Pelodiscus sinensis: one gene and its partners. The protein of the gene in region 1 interacts with the protein of each later gene in a biochemical or structural test. Links are inferred from orthologs where the notes say so. Each region holds a gene or a part of one and is shown in the gene's direction. Other genes may lie near its edges. The genes, in order: PLG, THBS1 and SERPINF2.

Region 1 (7,761 bases):
GTCACTGTGGCTTAACCACCATGTAAAAGAAGCAGTGAGGGACAAAAAGGCATCTTTCAAGAAATGGAAGTCCAATCCCAGTGAGATAAATGGAAAGGAACATAAACACTGTCAAATTAAGTGTAAAAATGTAATAAGAAAGGCAAAAAAAGATTGAGGAACAGCTAGCCAAAAATTCAAAAAGCAATAGCAAAATGTTTTAAGTACATTAGCAGCAGGAAGCCTACTAAAAAAACAGTGGGTCCCCTAGACAATCGAGATACAAAAGGAGCAATCAAGGATGACAAAGCTATTGCAGAGAAGCTAAATGATTTCTTTGCATCAGTCTTCACTGCTGAGGATATTGGGGAGATTCCCAAACCTGCACCATCCTTTGTGGGAGATGAATCTGAGGAACTGTCCTGGACTGAAGTGTCATTAGAGGAGGTTTTGGAACAAATAGAGAAACTTAACGTTAACAAATCACCGGGACTGGATGGCATTCACCCAAAGGTTCTAAAAGAATTCAAATGGGAAATTGCAGAACTGTTAATTGTCGTTTGTAATCTATCCTTTAAATCAGCTTCCGTACCTACTAACCAGAAGATAGCTAATGTGACACCAATATTTAAAAAGGGCTTTAGAGGTGATCCTGGCAATTACAGACCGGTAAGTCTAACGTCAGTATCGGGCAAATTATTCAAAACAATAGTTAAGAATAAAATTGTTAGGCATGTAGAAGAATATAATTTGTTGGGCAAAAGTCAACATGGTTTCTGTAAAGGGAAATCGTGTCTTACTAACCTATTAGAGTTCTTTGAAGGGGTTAACAAACATGCAGACAAGGGGGATCCAGTAGATACAGTATTCTTAGATTTTCAGAGAGCCTTTATCAAAGTCCCTCACCAAAGGCTCTTGTGTAAGTTACATTGTCATGGGATAAGAGGGAAGGTCCTTTCACGGACTGCGAAATGGTTAAAAGACAGGAAACACAGGGTAGGAATAATGGTAAATTTTCAGAATGGAGAGGGGTAACTAGTGGTGTCCCCCAAGGGTCAGTCCTAGGACCAATCCTATTCAACTTATTCATAAATGATCTAGAGAAAGGGGTAAGCAGTGAGATAGTAAAGTTTGTGGATGATACTAAACTGTTCAAGATAGGCAGAACAGAAGCAGACTGAAGAACTTCAAAATGATCTCACAAAATTAATTGATTGGGCAACATAATGGCAAATGAAGTTTAATGTGGATAAGTGTAAAGTAATGCACGTTGGAAAAAAATAAACTCAACTATACATATAGTATGATGGGGGCTAATTTGGCTACGACAAATCAGGAAAGAGATCTTGGATTTATCATGGATAGTTCTCTGAAAACGTCCACACAGTGTGTTGTGGCAGTCAAAAAGGCAAATAGAAGGTTAGGAATTATTAAGAAAGGGATAGAAAATAAGACACAAAATATCTTACTGCCCCTATATAAATCTATGGTACGCCCACATCTTGAGTACTGTGTACAGATGTGGTCTCCTCACCTCGAAGAAGATATTTTGGCCTTGGAAAGGATTCAGAAAAGGGCAACTAAAATGATTAGAGGTTTGGAACGGGTCCCATATGAAGAGAAGCTAAAGTAACTGGGACTTTTCAGTTTGGAAAAGAGGAGACTGAGGGGGGATATGATAGAGGTATATCAAATCATGAGTAGTGTGAAGAGGGTGAATAAAGAAAAGTTATTCATTAGTTCTGTCCCAGAGGCCCCAGTTGGCTCCGTGTATTTCCCTCGGTAGGGCTCCAATGCCGCGGGTTGCACGGCCACCACTCCCGCTGGCGGGGTGGGGGTCCGGGCCCTCCCTCACTCCCGGACCCCGGCCCAGGGCCCTAACACCAGAAGCTCGGCTCCTGATGAAAGCAGGTGGGGGCTTGCCCCTAAACGCGCCTGCTCACAGGCTCCGCGACCCTCCCTGGGCCTGCACAATCCCGCCCGTTTCCCCCTCCCTCTGTTCCGGGGACTCCCTCACCTCCCTGCTTTAGGCTGCCTCTTTCTTCTTCCCGGTACCTCCGCCCCTTCCTACGAACTCTTCCTCCCCCCTGAGACCTCTGTCGGCCATGCCTTTATCCCCAGCCTGGCCCCTTTCTTCCTCCACTTCTGGGTGCCCCGCCCCAGCCTGCCCCGGTTGCGCTGGTGACGTCAGCTGATGTCACCGGCACACGGTGATGACCCCTCCCGTCTCCGATCTCCTGCCATCCCGGCGGGGCTGGTACTAACCCCGCCGCTTCACCATCCGTGGCCGAGCTTCCGGGTGGCAGCTGGTGACGTGGTTGCTTCACCCCATCACAAGTTCCCATAATATAAGGACTAGAGGACACCAAATGAAATGAATGAGTAGCAGGTTTAAAACTAATAAGCGAAAGTTCTTCTTCACACAACGCATAGTCAACCAGTGAAACTCCTTGCTAGAGGAGGCTGTGAAGGCTAGAACTATAAGGGTATGTCTACACTACCCCGCTAGTTCGAACTAGCGGGGGTAATGTAGTCATCCGCATTTGCAAATGAAGCCCGGGATTTGAATTTCCCGGGCTTCATTTGCATGAAGCCAGCCGGCGCCATTTTTAAATGCCGGCTAGTTCGGACCCCGTGCCGCGCGGCTACACGCGGCACGGACTAGCTAGTTCGGATTAGGCTTCTAATCCTAACTAGCTGTACACCTCGTTCCACGGGTCCGAACTAGCCGGCATTGAAAAATGGCGCCGGCCGGCTTCATGCAAAATTCAAATCCCGGGCTTCATTTGCAACTGCGGATGACTACATTACCCCCGCTAGTTTGAACTAGCGGGGTAGTGTAGACATACCCTAACAGAGTTTAAAGAGAAGCTAGATAATTTCATGGAGGTTAGGTCCATAAAAGGCTATTAGCCAGGGGGTAGGAATGATGTCCCTGGCCTCTGTTTGTCAGAGGCTGGAGATGGATGGCACGAGACAAATCACTTGATCATTTCAAGAAAGATGTGGAGAAATTGGAAAGGGTACAGAGAAGAGCGACAAGAATGATTAAAGGTTTAGAGAACGTGACCTATGAAGCCAGGCTTCATGAACTGGGCTTGTTTAGTTTGGAGAAAAGAAGATTAAGGGGGGACATGATAGCGGTTTTCAAATATCTAAAAGGGTGTCACAAGGAGGAGGAGAAAATTTGTTCCTCTTCGTTTCTGAGGACAGGACAAGGAGTAATGGGCTTAAAGTGCAGCAGGGGAGGTTTAGATTGGACATTAGGAAAAAATTCCTAACTGTCAGGGTGGTCAAATATTGGAATAAATTGCCAAGGGAGGTGGTGGAATCTCCCTCTCTGGAGATATTTAAGAACAGGTTAGATAGACATCTGTCAGGGATGGTGTAGACGGAGCTTGGTCCTGCCTTGAGGACGGGGGGCTGGACTCGATGACCTCTCGAGGTCCCTTCCAGTCCTATGATTCTATGATTGTGTTCGGTCCACCCCCTCTAGGGCACTTGGTGCTGGCCACTGTCGGCAGACAGGATACTGGACTAGATGGACCTTTGGTCTGACCCTGTACTGCCATTCTTATGTTCTTACGTAATTATCAGCTACCTCCCAGAACTGATCTTTTCCTGCACAACTCATCTTCTCCTGCAATGGGACTAATCCCTGCTGCTAATGAAAATCACATTTCTCTAGTCTGCTACCAGAGTTCTCTAATGAGAGCCTACTCTCTGCAGTATTTCACCGAGGGCCTAGGAATAATTTTCATTACAGCAGGAATTCTATAGCAGGGTAATAATGGATCTTGTCCAGAAAGTGAGAGTGTTTCACAGAACTACAGGCAGGAACAGCTCTAGGCTGTATAGGGCTCCTATGCAAAATAACACATGTGGAGTTCAATCCAGCTCCCATCCAATCTACATGTGCTTTTCCTTAATTTATTTATACCCTCACCTTATCCGTAGTCCGTTTGGAACTTCCTCTCCCTCAGGATCTCCTGAGTTACTTGCATGTTTGATTCCACAGTTTGAGGTGAGGCTCCCTCACCAACCCAACATAGTCTGGGAGGCTACAAAACAATGTTAAAATGCAATTTTTCCAAGAGAAAGGGCATTGCAGGAATTAATCTGGTAGTGTTTGAAATCAGTCTGGGACAGGGGTGTGGCGCACTGGCTAGAAGATTTGGTGTGGGTGTGGCTATGTCTGTGGAAAGGAGGAGCCCAACTGTAGCAACATAGATATCATAGACCTAAAGTCAAAGTCAATAGTGATCAGACATTGTTAGGAATTAAAACAAAACAAGCCCTCCTCTGTAAGTAACCCCCACCAACAAAATCCAACCCTAGAGTAGGTTTAAAATTCAAATACAATGAGAGAGGGATTTTTTGATGAAACTGCAGTATGACAATATAATATAATTAACAGTATAAATCAGGCATAACTGCATCTATGTCAACAGAGCAGTGTGAGATTAGCGTCAGGGCCTTGCCCTTCAAGACCCAAACTAACAGCAACGTGCATTCTGCTCCATGGCCTTTTCTGTATTTTTCAGTAATACTATCCCAGTCTTTAGGTTGGCAAAATGAGGCCTAACAATTTCAGAGTTAAAGCATGCCCTGTATGATAGGAGAGCACTTTCATCTTCTCCCAGAATCTAATACAAACATTGAAACATTATTTTGTAAGATCTTCAATTCAAGGTAATATTTGAACATTTAGATCGGGACAGAGTGGGTCACAGAACCAGGAGAATGATTAACTTAATTTGACTATCTTGTTTGCTGGATGCTAAGTCGAGTGCAAGTCAATAAAACTGACACAGCATTAAACACAGCTTTCAGCACAGAGCCAGCCTGTCCCAAAATGGGGATTAGCAAAGCCGTCTTTCTGTTACTTTTATTTCTATACCCAGGTAAGGTTTGTTTATATTGCATTTTAATCAAAGTGAGATACTGGCCAAAAATTCCAAATTTGGTGCTTGAAACGGGGTGCCTGAATCCATATTTAGGTGCCTAATTCAAAGGACCTGATTAGTAGAGATGCTGAGTAACCACAGCTACTAGAGGGGAAAATGGGAGCTGTGGTGTTACAGCAACTCAGCAAATCAGGACACTTGTATTTAGCTGCCAAATCTGAAATCTCTGACCTCTATATTTAACAGTGCAAATCTGTAACTTTTCTAGACTTTAGAGATGTGTGTGAAAGCCACACAGCCCAGGGCCACTTCTCTCAAATCTTTATTTATTGTGTCAAAGCATGGCACCTACAGAAAGGGGGCCCTGCAGTCCTGACATATTGCTATTGCTAGTATTTATTAGTATTAAAGAAGAGTTCAAACTGCAAAATTCAAATTCTATCTCAATTTCAGATGCTTTCAAAGCACTGCTTACGGTGGCCTGAAAAAATGTGTGTGAGGGGGGTGGAGGGGCGTGGGGGTTGGAGATCTAGCGTAATCTGAGAGCAGTGTTTTTGTTAAAACAGTGCTTAAAGTGCACCCTTCAGTGACCTGACTTGATTATTACTACTATTATTATTGCCAGGCCTGTGACCCCTTGGGGATCTCACCTCTTTAAATGCTTCAAGAGCATTTTAGTTCAGAGATTAGGCTTTCCCATTAAAAGAGCAAGCACTAGCCACAGTATTTCTATCCAGAGCCCTAGTTCAGATTCTAAATTCCTTCAAAGCACCAGAATCTGCTGAATTTTTGTTTTGCCTCCTCTACATTTAAAATAACTTATTATACACTATATTGTATAATATATTATTTAAGTCTTATTTCCTGATTTGTTTGTTCTTCTGATTCAATACCATTAGGTTATTTGCTAATTTTTGTGATTGGGTTGTACCATGCAGCCCTTTGAACAAATAACACTCATGTTGAGTTATTTGCAACTTTGTCATTCAATAAGCCTTAAACAAAGGATTTGGTAGCACTAAATGGTGTAAATTAGGAAACTTCTGACACAGGCCCAGTGGCAACAAAGCTCTGACATATTGATTCTTCTCTTTGCTAAAGTCCCAGGAAAAATTATGTACCCGCTCTTCAATGTTTTTGTTTTGAACAAGTAACTTTAATGTGTTATGAGCAGATTTCCAAGTGGCCAGGTTTTCAGAGGTAATGAGTACCCACAAATCCCATGGAAGCCAATGGAAACTGCAGGGGCTCAGCACCTTTGAAAAGTAGGTCAATACAGGCCTAATATAAAAGCCATTTCAGTCCATGAAAAGACTCTCATGGACTTCAGTGGGCTTTAGATCAGGCCCGAGGTCTGATCAAATATCCCAAAGCTGGGTGCTTTTCATTTATTTAGTGAAGTATTACAGATTAGGGTTTTTTTGTTTATTATTAAATCCAAAGTTGTTGTTTTTTTTAAGCAGAAACAAAAGAAAGCATCCCACTATAGCATGGAGATGTTAGTCTCTTCTGTGGCCAGCTTCCTGTAAGAGGCTTTCTTATTACTTATTTGTGTGGGGTAATAGATTGGAATTTAATCTTCAGTCGTCTAGACGCCATAAGATTAGTTTTTTCAAAAGATAAAAACCAAGAGGATTTATGAAATGCTCCACAATATGTTAAGCCTTTTAAAATACATATTTGTTTTTATGAAGATCAGCAAGTGCTATGGACATTTTGAGTAAGTACTTTGTGTGCTGTACAAATGAAACTTGACTCAGCTATCGGAACCTGATGGCATTTCCTGCTACAGTCATTGTATATGCCTACATGAACTGCTGCAATAGCGGTTTTAAAAGTAAGGTTAGCAATCAAGTCAATAGTTCATATGCTTATGTAACAACTTTATCTTGCTAGAGATCATACGGAAAGATGATAGAAGAAATCAGGGATATTTTGTGTTTGTAATTATGGGCAGGGCCGGCTCAAGCCATTCCTGCGTCCCGGGCAGCGGGCGCGCGACGCATGTGCGGCTCCACCCCCCAGAGCACTGCGCACCCTACAGCCGCAATCGGGCACGTGGCGCCTGATTGCAGCTCTAAGGGGCGCCACGCAGCCCCCGGCCCTGGGCGCGTGGCACCCCTTACAGCTGCCATCAGTTAACCCCCATAGGTTGGTGCCCCAGGCAGCTGCTCAGCTAGCCTTCCCCCCTTAATCTGGCCCTGATTATGTGGGAGTGAGGGGTATAGGAGAATCAGGTCTTACAAAGGTAAAAGGTGTGACTAGATTCTAGCAAATAGACTTAGGATTTAGAAATATTACATAGGGGACCGTCTATAACAAAATATAGTAATTATTTGATGTTAAAGCATATCCAAGTGAATTTAAATTCTGGATTTTGACATGTATAATTCCAATTAAAATCGAAAGGATTAGGTGTTTACAAGATTTTGTCCTCTGTTGGCAACATGTTCAAGAAACATAACCAGCATTGGCCTTGCCAATATGTTCATGGGCATTTCTCAAACTGCTGTAAATGTGAATCTTGGCTTTCTTTTCTGAATAAGAAAATAACATCTTGTTAGTATTAGAGAATTCCACAGACTTAAAAAAAATAGCAATAGGTACATATCACACACAGACACAGTGCTGGGTGAATAACAAGATTCAACATTATCCACATACATTTTCCTTGTTTTCTCAAAGTACTGTTTTCTATAGTGATACTATGAGGGAAAAGAAAAAAAATCAAATGTTTTTAAAATTAATTTAATCTAATTTTGGACCATTGACATTAAAATGCCTTAATCAGAATTGTATCGTTATTGCATAATCTTGCTATAGGGCACAGGCAAGGTTGTCTGGATACAGTTTGTTTTTATATCTTAACATATTT
Region 2 (7,902 bases), on another chromosome or scaffold:
AGATTGAAAAATGTTATTAAAACTAACCTTTCAAATAAAGTTCACGGTACATAAGTTACAAAGCAAGGCACTATACATCTGGGGTCAAGCTTGGGTTATGGAAAGTTACAAGAATCAGATTACACAGTTTGTGAGGTACATATTATACATAGTATACATAAACAGCATTGTCCCAATCCGAGGTGTGGAGAGAGGTAACTAATGGTGTTCCCCAACGGTCCCTACTGCGACCAATCCTAGTCAACCTATTTATAAATTATCTGAAGAAAGGGATAAACAGTGAGGTAGCAAAATTTGCAGATGATACCAAACTGCTCAAGATAGTTAAGAGCAAAGCAGACTCTGAAGAGCTTCAAAAAGATTTCACAAAACTAAGTGATTGGGCAACAATATGGCAAATGAAATTTAATGTTGATAAATGCAAAGTAATGCACACTGGAAAAAATAATCCCAACCATGCATACAATATGATGGTGACTAATATAGCCATACTACTCAAGAGAGAGCTTTTGGAGTCACTGTGAAAACATCCACTTGATGTGCTGCAGCAGTCAAAAAAGCAAACAGAACGTTGGAAATAATTTTTAAAAGGATAGCAAATAAAACAGATAACTTCTTATTACCTCTATATAAAACCATGTTATGTGCCACATCTTGAATACTATGTACAGATGTGGTCCACTCATCTTAAAAAAGATATATTGGCATTGGAAAAGTTTCAGAAAAGGGCAACAAAAATGATTAGGGATTTGGAATGGGTCCCATATGAAGAGAGATTAAAAAGCCTAGGACTTTTCAGCTTAGAAAAGAGGAGACCAAAGGGGTATATGACAGAGGTCTATAAAATCATGTCTGGCATGGAAAAAGTAAATAAGGAAAAGTTATTTACTTGTTCCCATAACATAAGAACTAGGGGTCACCAAATGAAATTAATAGGTAGGAGGTTTAAAACAACAAAAGGAAGGATTTTTTTTTCACACAGCGCACAGTCGGCCTGTTGAACTCCTTGCCAGAGGAAGCTGTGAAGACCAGGACTTTAACAGGGTTCAAGAAAGAACTCGATAAATTCATGGAGATTAGGTTCATCAATGGCTATTAGCCAGGATGGGTGGGAATGGTGTTCCTAACCTCAGACAGAGGCTGGGAATGGGTGATGGGAGAGGAATTTCTTGATGATTTCCTGTTCTGTTCACTCCCTCTGGGGGATCTGGCACTGGCCATGGTTGGAAGACAGGATACTGGGCTGTCTAAACGGAACATTGGTCTGATCCTGCATGGCCATTCTTATGTTTGTAAAGCAGCGGAGAATAAGTGGTCTTGGGAATGCCACCCATAATGCTTATAGCATCACCGTCCATGGCAGTAAAGCACATAGGTACATGAGTGGAGTATGTCCCCGGGTCTGTCGGTGTCTTGTGGGTTTTCTGTGAAAAAGATAGTCTGTAAAGGAAAGGAGTAAGGGAGTGAGTGATTACCCTGATGTTGTCTCTTGTTGGTGGCCTTGTTCACTCATCCTGTGATGTGCTTCATGTGATGTGCTTCGTATGGATGTTTCCGGACCACTGGATGGTGCTGGATACCATCAGCTGTCCAACTATACTTGATTGATCTTGATCTTAGCCAAAAGGCCAAGAACCAATACACTTATTCCTATTCCCTATGCACACTACCACCCCACCACAGCTAAAGCCATAGCTGAAGACTGCTGCAGAGCCCTGGGCCAGAGCCACCAGGATCCTGGGTTTGGCAGCAGTGCCCTAAGGACCAGTAACCCAGGGCAGTGACAGAAAGGCCAGGGGAGGGGACCTTGAGGCCAGTGGCTGAATCCTCAGTGTGAGGGCATGCTGGGCACAAACCCAGAGGGTGCTACAGCACCCCTCAAACTGTACTTCCTACACCTATCAACACTGTTCTCAGTCTGGACTATTCTCAGACATGACTTATACATGCTCCATCATCAGCAATCCCTGGAGGTTAATATTACAGAGATATACCTATCTCATAGAGCTAGAAGGGACCTTGAAAGGTCATTGAGCCCAGTCCCCTGCCTTCACAGCAGGGCCAAGTACTCACCCTGATAGATTTGCCCCAGATCCCTAAATGGTCCCCTCAAGAATGGAACTTACAATTCTGTGTTTAGCAGACCAATGCTCAAACCACTGACCTATTCCTCCCCTCACACACATTTATTTATTATGGGTCCTTTGGTGACTGAAGAATGGGATCCCTGAGCCACAGGCTCATTCTCAGACATTGCAATGATGTTGGGAGTCAAGGTTAGGCCGCAACTGCTGCGTGACAGTTCTCATCTTTTCTGTTTTTGTGTGTGTGTGTGTGTGTGTGTGTGTGTGTGTGTGTGACCAAGGCCAGGGGATTTTCCTCAGAAACAAATTATTTCTTTCTTAACAGGTCTTTACCAGTTAACCCAGTACTGGCCTACTGTCTCCCAGTGTGAGGTGTCAATGTCATATCTCATTGGCTGTCTACACACTGGCATGAATTTCCGGAACTGCTTAAAACGGAATACTATTCCGTTTTCAGTTTTTCCGGAAAAGGAGCGTCTACATTGGCAGGCTGCTTTTCCAGAAAAGCCCTTTTTCCAGAAAAGCATCTGTGCATCCCAATGTAGACGCGCTTTTCCGGAAAAGAGCCCCGATCGCCATTTTCGCGATCGGGGCTTTTTTCCAGAAAAGACTACTGGGCTGTCTACACTGGCCCTTTTCCGGAACAGTGTTCCGGAATAAGGACTTATGCCCGAGCGGGAGCAGAATAGTTTTTCCGGAATAGCGGCTGATTTTGTACAGTAGAGCGTCGTTGCTTTTCCGGAAATTCAAGGGCCAGTGTAGACAGCTCGCAGCTTATTCCAGAAAAGCGGCTGATTTTCCGGAATAAGTGGCCCAGTGTAGACACAGCCATTATGTTTATCTTAAGCATGTCTTTAAAGCATTTCTTTTGGACTCCTGGTTTCCTTTCTCCTTTGGTGAGTTGGATTTACAGCAGTTGTTTTGGTAAGCATATACCTGTCATGTGCACACACAGCCCACTCCATCTTAGCTGGTGCTGGATAATCAGGGCTTCAATACCTGAAGAAGGTGGCCTCTTTGGGGACACTGGCTTTAGTGTGATGATTCTCACACTTTCTGTTGAGGATCTTCTGAAAAAAGTGCTGGTGCTGATGTTCCAGGTTTTTCTATAGGCGTTTTCAAAAGGTCACCCAAGTCTCTCAGCCATGCCTTCTGCACATAACATACACTGCACTCATACACTACTTGCACACAACACTGCATACTTACATACCCTCCTGACACACACTTCATATTACCTATGCATGACTTACACCTCCCTCACATACTATTTATCTGCACTGCCCACCAGAGACTATACTACATTCAAACTCAGCATTATTACTGGCAAGCACTAATTACACACTGCTCAAGTCACATATATCCTGCCCCCTATCCAACCCACTCCCACACATTTCACTCTAGCACACTCTCTGTGAATTTAAAGAGACGTGTGTCCAGTCTGCCTGTCCCTGCTCTGACCTGCTTTCAAATTTGGGATTGGAGGGTTGTTGTCCAGAGAAGATCGGTCACCTGGGGCTCCTGGTAACAAGGCAGTGCTGAAAGATGATGAGTTCATACCTTTCATCTCACCCACTCCATTGCGGAAGAGCTGCTGCTGCTCCCTCTCACGTCAGAGCCAGAGGACATGAATGGGATTCCAGACAGCTGGAGTAATGTTGGCACGGGACGGGTTCTGTGTGCACTGGACAGAGACACCGCGTACACTGGGAGAGGTTTGAGAAATCAATCGCCGCCACCCGGGCCAGGGACGTGCCCAGCTCCGCGCAGCCATTAACGCGCGTCTACTCTCAGAAGCGCACGGGGGACAGAGAAGACAAGAATGAACGATGTGTAGGAAGCAGATAAAAGAACTGGCAGGAGACTTTCCCCCATAAACGAATAGCGATTGATGAGGAATTTGGTGACACCATCATTCCCTCAAATACACACGGAAGAGTCGCACGGAAAGCACCATAGGGGAGACAGGGTCGGGAAGGGCGGGGACTAGTTTGAAGATGCAACTTCATTAATTCTATAAAAGGGGAAAATGCACTTTTCCCTTTAGGAATGATTAATTTGGGAACCATTTCCTCCAGGCCTTGGCGATAAGAATTCGCTGGGCGCCCCCAAGCGGACAGCTCGGGTTTTAACGCCGCGAACTTGATCCTTTTTGAAAGTGTGCCCAGGATCCAAGCCATGCAGCGAGTGAGCGCCCTAACACGTTCCCCCACTGAAGGAAGGCCCCTGTCTATGTCTCATCTCCCCACCCCCGCTGTGCAAATAGCCTGACAGAGACATCCAGGCGCAAAGGGGGCCCTGTTACCCGTAAAAAGAAAGTCACCGCGGCCACCCAATGTGAAGAACACGCGTTAATAGCGCACGGTTACTGTAGCACTATCACATCAGGAGATTAGCTCCTGGAACAGGAGCAGCGGAATCAGACTGGAGAAACCATCGCTGCCCGGTGGTAATTTGCTCTCCCTCATTCCAACTAGTGCCCGGCTGGTCACAGGCGGTTTATACTCCCAGCAATTCCCTGCACCCCGAATGAGGCAGGACAGGTCTGTCACAGCGAGGGGCAGAGCCCTCTGCCTACCACGTGCTGGGCGTAGAGAACTGAGGCTGGAGTGTGATCACCTCCCTGCCCCCCCCCCCCCCCCTTTGAGCGGTTTGTTTCTCGTTTGTTGTGAGGTAACTGGATAAACACCAGCCCGCTTCCTGCCCGGTCGCTGCTGATTGGCCCGCGGGACTTTCAGGAATGTGCGCGACCCCTTAAAGGCGAGAGCGGCTCCTCCAGCCGCTTCACTGCACTGGCCAGAGGCTGAGCGCCAAGGGAAACCTGCGGGGGCTGCAAGCAGCTGTCGAGCCGATCCACCAACCGGGACTCGCGGCTACTCACGGACTGCTCCTGGAACACCAGCGCCCCAGCACCAGGGACACTGACACTGCTCGGGCTGGGGCTTTGCTGAGTGTGTGTCTAGCGCGCTAGGGGACAATCACTCACCTAAGAGTCGTCAGGAGAATCCAAGGGCTTCCAAAGGATATTGATCGCTCTTCACTCAGTGGCTGCAGGAGATATTTCATCCCCGGGGTTATCTTTAAGGTCTCAGCATCTTTCCCTGTAAAGGTAAGTGCAGAAGCAGCACTTTAATTTCCCCTGCCACTTCATGTAATTTGTAAAAGACAAAATCTAAAGAGGGGGGGGGGAAACGCAACTGAAATTCATGGGAGGGGAGGGGTCTGTGTATCTATCTACACGTCCTCCTCAATAGTCCCGCTGCTCGCGCCTTAGCCCTTTGCAATACTTTTCATCTTCAGGGTACCTGACAAACCTATTGCTTGCCAGCCTCAGACTCCCCCAAAAATTCTTCTGGATGTAATGAGGATGAGACTTTCTTTTATTTTTCGAAGGTTTGTCTTGAAGACTGGTCTTTGCCATGGAGCTATCAGGCGGACTTTTTCTCCTCCTAATGCTAAGTGTCTATGCAACAAACCAGATCCCAGGTAAAAACAATTACTTCATTCTATATTTGGCAATTATAAAGAGATTTATTGGGTAAATATTAATGGTCAGGATTTTTTTTAAAGAAATCTGGTATCTTTGGTGTTGACTTTGAAGGAATGAAACCTTAAACTGTGATGAAGAGCTGCTTTGATATTTCTAGCCCACAAAAATGCATTAGCCTGGGGAATATTCAGATTAGTGGTTATGAACAGCAAATTATTTCCTCCTGTGCAGAATTTATGTAACCTTCAAACAAGGAAGGACTGAACACTCAAGGACTTCAAAGCAAAGCATGGTTTACCTACCTTTCCACATTATGCATGGGGAAAATGTAGCTGAGGAACTAAAAGAAGCAATCTGGCATTGTCCCCTATCTGGCCTGTATTGTGCATTATGTCTCAGCATAGACCTCAGACCATATAGAAACATTATTTATGTACTAACTGAGATCTCTATAGGTAATCAGTGAAAGTCTCACTTTAGATTTTTAAAATGGGATCTGATGGGGTGGACACTCTGCTCTCTTCCCCTTGTTCTTACTGATGTGCTTCGCTGCCTCCTCTATTAGCACTCAAAACACCACTCACTATTGTCCAGCTAGCTTTGTATGTAAGTCAGGATGTGCTTCCTAGCATCCCTACAGAAATGCACCATGCCCTTCTGTACAGCAGCCCCCCTACAGGGCTGCATTAGCTTCATAGCTGCCCATACTTGCATTGTTGCTATATCAGCTCCCCACCCAATTGGACTGATCTTCAACTTCCATTAAAAGTCCCTACTCAGCCTCAGTGAACACCAGCTCACAATGGGATTGAGCTACTTTCTCAGCCCCCAGCACCTGACTGCTCCCCCATCCCAGGGGTTGCACAGCCATTTGGCCCCTTTCTATCTTTGTTCACAATGCTTACTCTGGTCTCTCCACAGAGTCTGGGGGAGATGATAATAGTGTATTTGATCTCTTCGAACTCATTGGCTTCACTCGCAAAGGAGCCGGACGCCGTGCAACTGGGGTGCAGTTGGTGAAGGGGCCTGAGCCTTCCAGCCCTGCTTACCGCATTGAGGATGCCAGCCGCATCCCTGCCATGCCTGATGACAAGTTCCAAGATTTGCTGGATGCCATCTATGCTGAAAAGGGCTTCATTTTGCTGGCTACTCTCCGGCAGGCCAAGAAGAGTCGGGGCACCCTACTGGCTGTGGAGCGCAAGGACAGTTCGGGCCATATCTTCAACCTGGTGTCTAATGGAAAAGCAGGCACTCTGGATCTGAGCCTGTTTGGTGATGGGAAGCAGCAGGTGGTTTCAGTGGAGGATGCCCTATTAGCCACTGGCCACTGGAAGAACATTACCCTGTTCGTGCAGGAGGACCGGGCCCAGCTGTATGTAGGGTGCGAGAAAATGGAGAATGCTGAACTGGACATCCCCATCCAAAACATCTTCACCAGAGACCTGGCCAGCAGTGCCAAGCTCCGCATCGCCAAGGGTGATGTCAATGACAACTTCCAGGTAAGACTCTTTCTCTCAGTCAGCATCTTCATGGGGTTCCTTCAATGAGAGAAACCCTTAAAGGCACAACGTCCAAACCTACCCCCACTAGAGAAAGAGTAGTAATGAGAAGAGGAGGGTTCTGATCAGCTTGTGCAGGAAAATTGTCCACCTTCAATATAAATAGTCCCCACAATCTATTTGCATATTAAGTGAACTGCAGAAAATCCTCTTCAAATCCCAAGCTCTTTAAAGCTCTAGACTTGTTTTAGATGAGACCTGATGAAATTTCTCAGACTACAAGAAAAACTTGAAGTTTCTGACCCTACTACACTGATCAGATAAACAGTTGTCTAGCAAATTTTAGTAAACAAAAATAAAGCCTGGAATATAGAGGAAAAGAGGACATTGTGCATCTGTGGAGTTGTTATACACTGAGAGCTGGTGAAAAGAGTATTCAGACACAGGACTTGCTATCACCAGGTAGAAGGGGTAGTGAAGCATTCTGGACATATGCCTCACTCTAGTGCCTTTGAAACTTTTGTTGAAATTGAAACTGGCTTCCTGGGCAAAATTACACGTCTTTCCCCTATAGTTTCTACAAAACACTGTCATTTTCCCTCTGCCAACAGGGAGTGCTGCAGAATGTGCGGTTTGTCTTTGGAACAACCCTGGAAGCCATTCTAAGGAACAAAGGTTGCTCCAGCTGTAAGTCTACAACTTTTTCTGAATCTACTGACCTATTAAAAATAGGATTCCTCAGCATGCTAGGAAGACAAGTTGAGACAGAAGTGAAAGTATGCTGATATGAAAATCATTATTGTATAAGAAAATACAGGATTTTTTCAGG
Region 3 (7,956 bases), on another chromosome or scaffold:
CTTGGCCCGGGGGCAGCCGGGCAGGAGAACGCCCTGAGGCAGGAGCTGCCCCGCGGTGCCCACATGCTGTGTGGGAACTGGCTGGCCTACTGGCAGTACGAGATCGGGGTGAGCCAGCACGACTCCCGCTTCCACTTCCACCAGATCAAGCTGCAGAGCTTTGTGGGGCACACGGGGGCCGTGAAGTGCGTGGCCCCGCTCGGCGGCGAGGACTTCTTCCTGAGCGGCAGCAAGGACCGGACCGTGCGCCTCTGGCCCCTCTACAACTGCGGGGACGGCACCTGGGAGACGGAGCCGCGGCTCACGTACGCGCAGCACAGGAAGTCGGTCTTCTCCGTCAGCCCGCTGGAGGCCCCGCAGCAGGTGGTGAGCTGCGACGGGACGGTCCATGTCTGGGACCAGTTCACAGGTGAGGGGAAGCCAGGCTGGGGTGAGTGGCAGAGCTGGGACCAGGCCAACGCTAGTTCTGCACCCAGCCCTGCCCGCCGCCGCTGGCTGGCACCTCTGCAGTGGCGCTGTCCTGCCTGGCCAGCTTGCCGTGCAGGGTGCCCTGTGTCCCCCTAGAGCCGGGCTCTGTCCCGTCCTGCGGCCGACGCCTGGGGGGCCCTGCAGCTGTGCCGGGCTGGGCACACCCAAGGCCTGGGACTGCTTTGGTCTGGGCATGGTGCCCCAAGCCGGGACGCCCGCCTGCTGCTTGTGCACCTCGAGAGCTGCTTGTTCTTTCCAAAGGCAAACTGCTCCGGACCTTCGACGCTCCGGACAGCAAAGTCCCCATCACTGCCATGGCCACCATGCCTGCTCCCCACAGCAGCATCGCCGTGGCCAGCGCAGACTCGGTGCTGCGCTTCATTGACCACAGGAAGCCAGGAGTTCAGGTACTGGGGGCTTGGCTGTCCCTAGCCCTCAGGGGCACCTTCCGCACAGCTGACCCTGCCTGCAGGGTGCGGGTCTGGCCTCCCTTTGCTGCCCCTGCTGGGGATCCCTCCCGGTGCCCAGTAACCGGGGCTCCCTGCCTCTCCCCGGCAGCACGAGTTCCGGCTGGCCAGTGGGGTGAGCGCTGGACTCATCCGCTGCTTGGCCATCAGCCCCAGTGGGCGCAGCGTCCTGGCTGGCTTCTCGTCGGGCTTCATTGTGCTGCTGGACACCAGGACGGGGCTCATCTTGAGGGGGTGGCCGGCCCACGAGGGAGACATCCTGCAGCTCAAGGTGAGAGGTGGGGCGGGGGTGATGGCAGGGCTGGGGGGTCCTGCTCCCCTGGCTCTTGCCGCCTTTCCAGTGTGGGTGCAGACGTGCCCGTTTGCCCCCCCCGCAAGTCTCCAGCTCTTGGCTGACTTGGGCCTGGTGCGCTGGCTGGGGGGCTGCCGTGGGGCGGCCCAGCCACAGGAGCTGCGGTGCGTGGGCGGGTGCCGCTCGCAGCCCGTTCTAATGAGTAACTCTTGTCCATATTTACCTGCCCCCAGCAGCGGGGCCGCAGCGTGTCCTTGACCCAGTTGGGGTTAAGCAAAGTTCACCTGTGGGGGCTGTTTACCTCTCCTCGCGGGTGGCGCTGGGCGGGCGGGCGGGCGAGGCGGAGACGCGCTCCGTGCACGGTCCCGTGGGGGGCCAGACGTCCGCGGTGAGCCAGAGATGGGCGGGAGCCTAGGGCCACGCTCCTGCCAGCGAGAGAGGCCGGGGCGCCCTGGGGGACAGGCTCCTGCCGGCAGGGTGGGGCGCCGGGGGGCGGGGGCCAGGCTCCGGTGGTGCAGACCTGGCTTCACTGCACTTTCTCACCTGCAGGCTGTAGAGGGCAGCGTGCTGCTCAGCTCCTCCTCCGATCACTCGCTGACGGTCTGGAAGGAGCTGGAGCAGAAGCCTTTGCACCAGTACAAATCGGCCTCCGAGCCCGTCCACGCCTTCGACCTCTATGGCAGCGAGGTGGTGACCGGCACGGTGGCCAACAAGATCGGGGTCTACTCCCTGGGGGAGTCCTCTGCCCTGCCCACCAGCACAACCAAGCTGAGTTCGGAGAACTTCCGCGGCACCCTGACCAGCCTGGCCGTGCTGCCCACCAAGTGCCAGCTCCTGCTGGGCTCTGACAACGGGCTGATCCGCCTCCTGGCGTAGGGGCCTCCGCGGCCAGCTCTGGGGGGTAGCACCTAAGGCCAGTACTCCACTTCTGGGCAGGGCTGAGGCCTTTCCCCGGGGGCCCCAGTAAATCCCCCGCCCTGCCTACCTTCAAGAAGCCATAACGGAGGGACCTCCACTGCCTGCTGCTGGGGGGAGTTTGGGCGTTGCGGGGCAGCGTCGCCCCTCTGGAGGCCTGGAGCCTTCCACACCGCGTGTGCCTGAGCTGCTTAGGGACGTGGGCCGGGCGCGGGGCGAGGCACACGGCCCCCACCCTGCACACTCAGCCCCCCGGGCCGGGCTAGCGCCGCACTCGGGTCCTCAGGGCAGTGGGAGGCAGTGGAGCCAGCTCTCTACCCAAGGCAGCCACCACCTGCTGCCCGCCCTCGGTCGGGGGTGGGAATGCACCTGCCCCAGCGGCCAGGGGGCAGGAACTAGATTTGGTGGGGGGTGCTCCTAGCCAGGCCCCCTGGTGGGGGAGGGGGAGGAACGTCTGCCCCCCAGAGGCAGAGGCCAGAGGGGATTTCTTTTGCCTGCTGTGCTGGGAGCAGCCCCCTCAGTGCTGGGCGGAGTTGAGGCTCGGGGTGGGGGTGGCTTGAGCCCTTCCTTGCTGTCCTGCCTCTCGCTCTACCCTAGCGGGCGGGACCCCACAGGCCTGCCACTCGGTGCTGCCCTCGGCCCCAGGATGCCCCCTCCTGCCGGAGACCGGCCCTCTCTGTGCCCTTGCGGGGGCTCCCTGGGCCTGCCTGCCCGCCCCGCTCTGAGCCTTTGCAGAATGGTGCTGGGCAGGCGGGGTCAGGGCCAGCCTGTGCCATGGGGTTAACCATGCACGTCCCTCCCAGGCACTGGGGGGGGCTGGCACTCTGCCAGGCTGGGAGCCTTTGGGGGTCTCTACTCCCCACAGAAGGGGGCTGAGCACTTAGTCCCTCGCTGCCCCTCGCCTGGGGGGGGCTCTGTCCCTTGTTGCCTATTAACTCTTTGCAATAGATGTAAATATTTCTTCTAATAAAGAGACCATGAGAGGAGCCTTTCTGTGTGTGCTGCTGTGGGGGATGGGTGGGCGGGAATGGGGAAAAACACTCGTGAGCGTGGGGGCCTTCACAGAGTGATACATGCTGGTGCTCTCATGCAGCCAGGCCTAAAACATCCTTGGACTTTCTAAACATTCCTGCCCCAAAAAAGTGCTGCAGTCAACATGGGTCAATTCTATGTTAGACCTTGTCCTCCCTGATAGAGAGGAACGGATCACAGAACTAAAAGTTAAATGGTAGCTTAGGTAGCGGTGATTATAACTTTTCACATTTATAATGTGCAAAGAGGAAAAACACCAGACCCATAATCTATATTCCTGGTGCTCTAATAGGGCCAGTTTCACAAAGCTGAAAACAAGCATGAGCCAAACACTTGTGAGGAAGAATTTGATCAGAAAAGAAGTGAATGATAAAATAGGACTCTTAAGAACATCTTCCTCAATGTCCTTTCTCCTCCTCCTCCCCCCCCCACAAACAAGGAAAAGGGCTGTGCTGATTAAAAAAGTCACCTGGGCTAGAGAGGAATATAGGCAATTGTATAAAGTTCAAAAACAAAACCAACAGAAAATCCCGACAACAAAATGTAACAGATGGAAGAAAAGGGAAAGCTATTAACAGTTTAATATGAATTTGAAGGCAGTAACTGTAGAAAATTGATAAGGGAAGCCAAGGGCTGCAAGGAGAGATCAATGGACAGGAAGGTGTTTTTTAAATAAATGGGGGTGGGTGGGGTGGAAATGAATGTTTACAATGATATTGGTACATTAGTATATGAAAATGGCAGAATTCTTAATACAAAAAATGCCATTTTCAATTAGTATTTCTGTTCTATGTTGCGGGGCGGGGGGGGGGTGGACATAATGCAGTCTTGATTGGTGGATGATAAAACTCTTTCCGTTCCACTAGTTACCCTGGAGGATGCTGTTCAGATGCTATTAGAGTTTGGTATTTTAAAATCAGCAGGTCTAGATAACTTGCAACTAGGAGCTTTAAAAGAGCTGGCTGAGGTGCCTGCTGGACCGTTAACGTTGATTTTCAGTATTTGAGAGGAGTGGGACAGAAGACTAGAAGATCGCTCATGTGCCAGTTTTTGAAAAGGGCAACTGAGTTGACCAGTCAGGATGTCAGTCACAGCCAAGGCACTGGAGTGACGGCCACGGTAATTAAAGAACTACATGAGGATTCTGTCATTAATGCAGCTCAACCAGCGTTTATGGCCAAACAGCTTGTCAGACTCATGCTGTGGTGGTGAAGGGAAGTGTGTTGGCCTAGCAGACACCCGTAAAGTATCTGACTTGTCCATGTCATGCTGATTCCAATAAGACCAGACTAAATGGAACATGGCCTGTGAAATGGGCTAACTGCCCAGTAAATGGCGCCTTGGGGCGGCTCCCAGGGACAAGGGAGGGGCAGCAGCCCTCTTGCCCTCGCTCAGGGCTGTACCAGCTGACCAGTAATGCCAGGCCGGGTCAGCCCCAGGAGCCGGGTGAGGCTGAGGGAGCCGCAGCCGGAGGAGACGTGGGGTTAGAGGCCAGAAAGCTGCAGTTTCTCACAGAAAACTTAAGACTAGAGGGGGGGAGTGGCTACGAAAGCCCAGCCCTGTGGCTCTGAGGCACGAGTGGCGGGTCGCCCTGCCCCACAGGCACAGGGGGGGGACTCTGCACTGGCCCCACTTCAGACCCGGGTCCCTCCTGTCCTTGGGGTGCAGCGACCCGGAGCCCCACAGCGACCCCCACTGCTCCAGCCCAGGACAAATGTTTAACCGGACGTTCAAAGTCAATATTTGTTGAAAGAAATAAAGGGCGGTAGCGAAGGTCGTGCCTGCACTGCCCGGCAGGCGTGGGCTGGACACGTCTGCACCGCCCCATGCAGAGCCGTCGGCTGGGCTAGAGAGGGGCCGCACCCGCAGCGATGCTTCGCAAACGGAGGTAGGGGCAGAGTTGCTGGGGGCCAGGGCTGCTCCAGGGCTCTGTGTAGGGGGGGGCTGAGAGCCAGGGGGGTCAGGCCTGCAGTGGAGTCTGGGGGGGGGGGCTGAGAGCCAGGGGTGTCAGGGCCTGCAGTGGAGTCTGGGGGGGGGGGGGCTGAGAGCCAGGGGTGTCAGGGCCTGCAGTGGAGTCTGGGGGGGGGGCTGAGAGCCAGGGGTGTCAGGGCCTGCAGTGGAGTCTGGGGGGGGGGGCTGAGAGCCAGGGGTGTCAGGGCCTGCAGTGGAGTCTGGGGGGGGGGCTGAGAGCCAGGGGTGTCAGGCCTGCAGTGGAGTCTGGGGGGGGGGGGGGCTGAGAGCCAGGGGTGTCAGGCCTGCAGTGGAGTCTGGGGGGGGGGGGCTGAGAGCCAGGGGTGTCAGGGCCTGCAGTGGAGTCTGGGGGGGGGGGGGCTGAGAGCCAGGGGTGTCAGGCCTGCAGTGGAGTCTGGGGGGGGGGGCTGAGAGCCAGGGGTGTCAGGGCCTGCAGTGGAGTCTGGGGGGGGGGGGCTGAGAGCCAGGGGTGTCAGGGCCTGCAGTGGAGTCTGGGGGGGGGGCTGAGAGCCAGGGGTGTCAGGGCCTGCAGTGGAGTCTGGGGGGGGGGGCTGAGAGCCAGGGGTGTCAGGGCCTGCAGTGGAGTCTGGGGGGGGGGGGGCTGAGAGCCAGGGGTGTCAGGGCCTGCAGTGGAGTCTGGGGGGGGGGGGCTGAGAGCCAGGGGTGTCAGGGCCTGCAGTGGAGTCTGGGGGGGGGGGGGGGGCTGAGAGCCAGGGGTGTCAGGGCCTGCAGTGGAGTCTGGGGGGGGGGCTGAGAGCCAGGGGTGTCAGGGCTGCAGTGGAGTCTGGGGGGGGGGGCTGAGAGCCAGGGGTGTCAGGGCTGCAGTGGAGTCTGGGGGGGGGCTGAGAGCCAGGGGTGTCAGGGCTGCAGTGGAGTCTGGGGGGGGGGCTGAGAGCCAGGGGTGTCAGGGCATGCAGTGGAGTCTGGGGGGGGGGCTGAGAGCCAGGGGTGTCAGGGCTGCAGTGGAGTCTGGGGGGGGGGCTGAGAGCCAGGGGTGTCAGGGCTGCAGTGGAGTCTGGGGGGGGGGGCTGAGAGCCAGGGGTGTCAGGGCCTGCAGTGGAGTCTGGGGGGGGGGGGCTGAGAGCCAGGGGTATCAGGGCTGCAGTGGAGTCTGGGGGAGGGGCAGAGAGCCAGGGGTGTCAGGGCTGCAGTGGAGTCTGGGGGAGGGGGGCTGAGAGCCAGGGATGTCAGGGCTGCAGTGGAGTCTGGGGAGGGGGGCTGAGAGCCAGGGGTGTCAGGGCTGCAGTGGAGTCTGGGGGGGGGGCTGAGAGCCAGGGGTGTCAGGGCTGCAGTGGAGTCTGGGGGGGGGGCAGCTGAGAGCCAGGGGTGTCAGGGCTGCAGTGGAGTCTGGGGGGGGGGGGCTGAGAGCCAGGGGTGTCAGGGCTGCAGTGGAGTCTGGGGGGGGGGGCTGAGAGCCAGGGGTGTCAGGGCTGCAGTGGAGTCTGGGGGAGGGGGGGGCTGAGAGCCAGGGGCGTCAGGGCTGCAGTGGAGTCTGGGGGGGGGGGGCTGAGAGCCAGGGGTGTCAGGGCCTGCAGTGGAGTCTGGGGGGGGGGCTGAGAGCCAGGGGTATCAGGGCTGCAGTGGAGTCTGGGGGAGGGGCTGAGAGCCAGGGGTGTCAGGGCTGCAGTGGAGTCTGGGGGGGGGGCTGAGAGCCAGGGGTGTCAGGGCTGCAGTGGAGTCTGGGGGAGGGGGGCTGAGAGCCAGGGGTGTCAGGGCTGCAGTGGAGTCTGGGGAGGGGGGCTGAGAGCCAGGGGTGTCAGGGCTGCAGTGGAGTCTGGGGGGGGGGGCTGAGAGCCAGGGGTGTCAGGGCTGCAGTGGAGTCTGGGGGGGGGGCGGCTGAGAGCCAGGGGTGTCAGGGCTGCAGTGGAGTCTGGGGGGGGGGGGCTGAGAGCCAGGGGTGTCAGGGCTGCAGTGGAGTCTGGGGGGGGGGGGCTGAGAGCCAGGGGTGTCAGGGCCTGCAGTGGAGTCTGGGGGGGGGGGCTGAGAGCCAGGGGTGTCAGGGCTGCAGTGGAGTCTGGGGAGGGGGGCTGAGAGCCAGGGGTGTCAGGGCTGCAGTGGAGTCTGGGGGGGGGGGGGCTGAGAGCCAGGGGTGTCAGGGCCTGCAGTGGAGTCTGGGGGGGGGCTGAGAGCCAGGGGTGTCAGGGCTGCAGTGGAGTCTGGGGGGGGGGGGCTGAGAGCCAGGGGTGTCAGGGCTGCAGTGGAGTCTGGGGGGGGGGGGCTGAGAGCCAGGGGTGTCAGGGCTGCAGTGGAGTCTGGGGGGGGGGGGCTGAGAGCCAGGGGTGTCAGGGCCTGCAGTGGAGTCTGGGGGGGGGGGGCGGCTGAGAGCCAGGGGTGTCAGGGCCTGCAGTGGAGTCTGGGGGGGGGCGGCTGAGAGCCAGGGGTGTCAGGGCTGCAGTGGAGTCTGGGGGGGGGCTGAGAGCCAGGGGTGTCAGGGCTGCAGTGGAGTCTGGGGGGGGGGTTGAGAGCCAGGGGTGTCAGAGCCTGCAGTGGAGTCTGGGGGGGGGGGGCTGAGAGCCAGGGGTGTCAGGGCTGCAGTGGAGTCTGGGGGAGGGGGACTGAGAGCCAGGGGTGTCAGGGCTGCAGTGGAGTCTGGGGGGGGGGGGGGCTGAGAGCCAGGGGTGTCAGGGCCTGCAGTGGAGTCTGGGGGGGGGGGCTGAGAGCCAGGGGTGTCAGGGCTGCAGTGGAGTCTGGGGGGGGGGCTGAGAGCCAGGGGTGTCAGGGCCTGCAGTGGAGTCTGGGGGGGGGCTGAGAGCCAGGGGTGTCAGGGCCTGCAGTGGAGTCTGGGGGGGGGGCTGAGCCAGGGGTGTCAGG

The links.
Region 2: the proteins of PLG (region 1) and THBS1 form a complex in vitro, tested with the Homo sapiens proteins (2 studies listed by BioGRID). The link is inferred for Pelodiscus sinensis from reciprocal best matches to the Homo sapiens genes PLG and THBS1.
Region 3: the proteins of PLG (region 1) and SERPINF2 form a complex in vitro, tested with the Homo sapiens proteins (2 studies listed by BioGRID, with this or other methods). The link is inferred for Pelodiscus sinensis from reciprocal best matches to the Homo sapiens genes PLG and SERPINF2.

Annotation. Positions count from the first base shown.
Region 1 is NC_134713.1:113,979,070-113,986,830, reverse strand, and holds the start of PLG (plasminogen), read left to right. Parts: upstream 1-4,726; 5' UTR 4,727-4,756; coding exon 4,757-4,883; intron 4,884-7,761. UniProt on the Homo sapiens protein: Plasmin dissolves the fibrin of blood clots and acts as a proteolytic factor in a variety of other processes including embryonic development, tissue remodeling, tumor invasion, and inflammation. In ovulation, weakens the walls of the Graafian follicle.
Region 2 is NC_134714.1:60,614,039-60,621,940, forward strand, and holds the start of THBS1 (thrombospondin-1), read left to right. Parts: upstream 1-4,859; 5' UTR 4,860-5,193; intron 5,194-5,477; 5' UTR 5,478-5,503; coding exon 5,504-5,570; intron 5,571-6,495; coding exon 6,496-7,073; intron 7,074-7,684; coding exon 7,685-7,760; intron 7,761-7,902. UniProt on the Homo sapiens protein: Adhesive glycoprotein that mediates cell-to-cell and cell-to-matrix interactions.
Region 3 is NC_134731.1:919,383-927,338, reverse strand, and holds the start of SERPINF2 (alpha-2-antiplasmin), read left to right. Parts: upstream 1-4,902; 5' UTR 4,903-5,045; coding exon 5,046-5,062; intron 5,063-7,956. Other genes in the region: WDR81 (WD repeat-containing protein 81), read left to right, coding at 1-409, 730-875, 1,027-1,206, 1,777-2,103.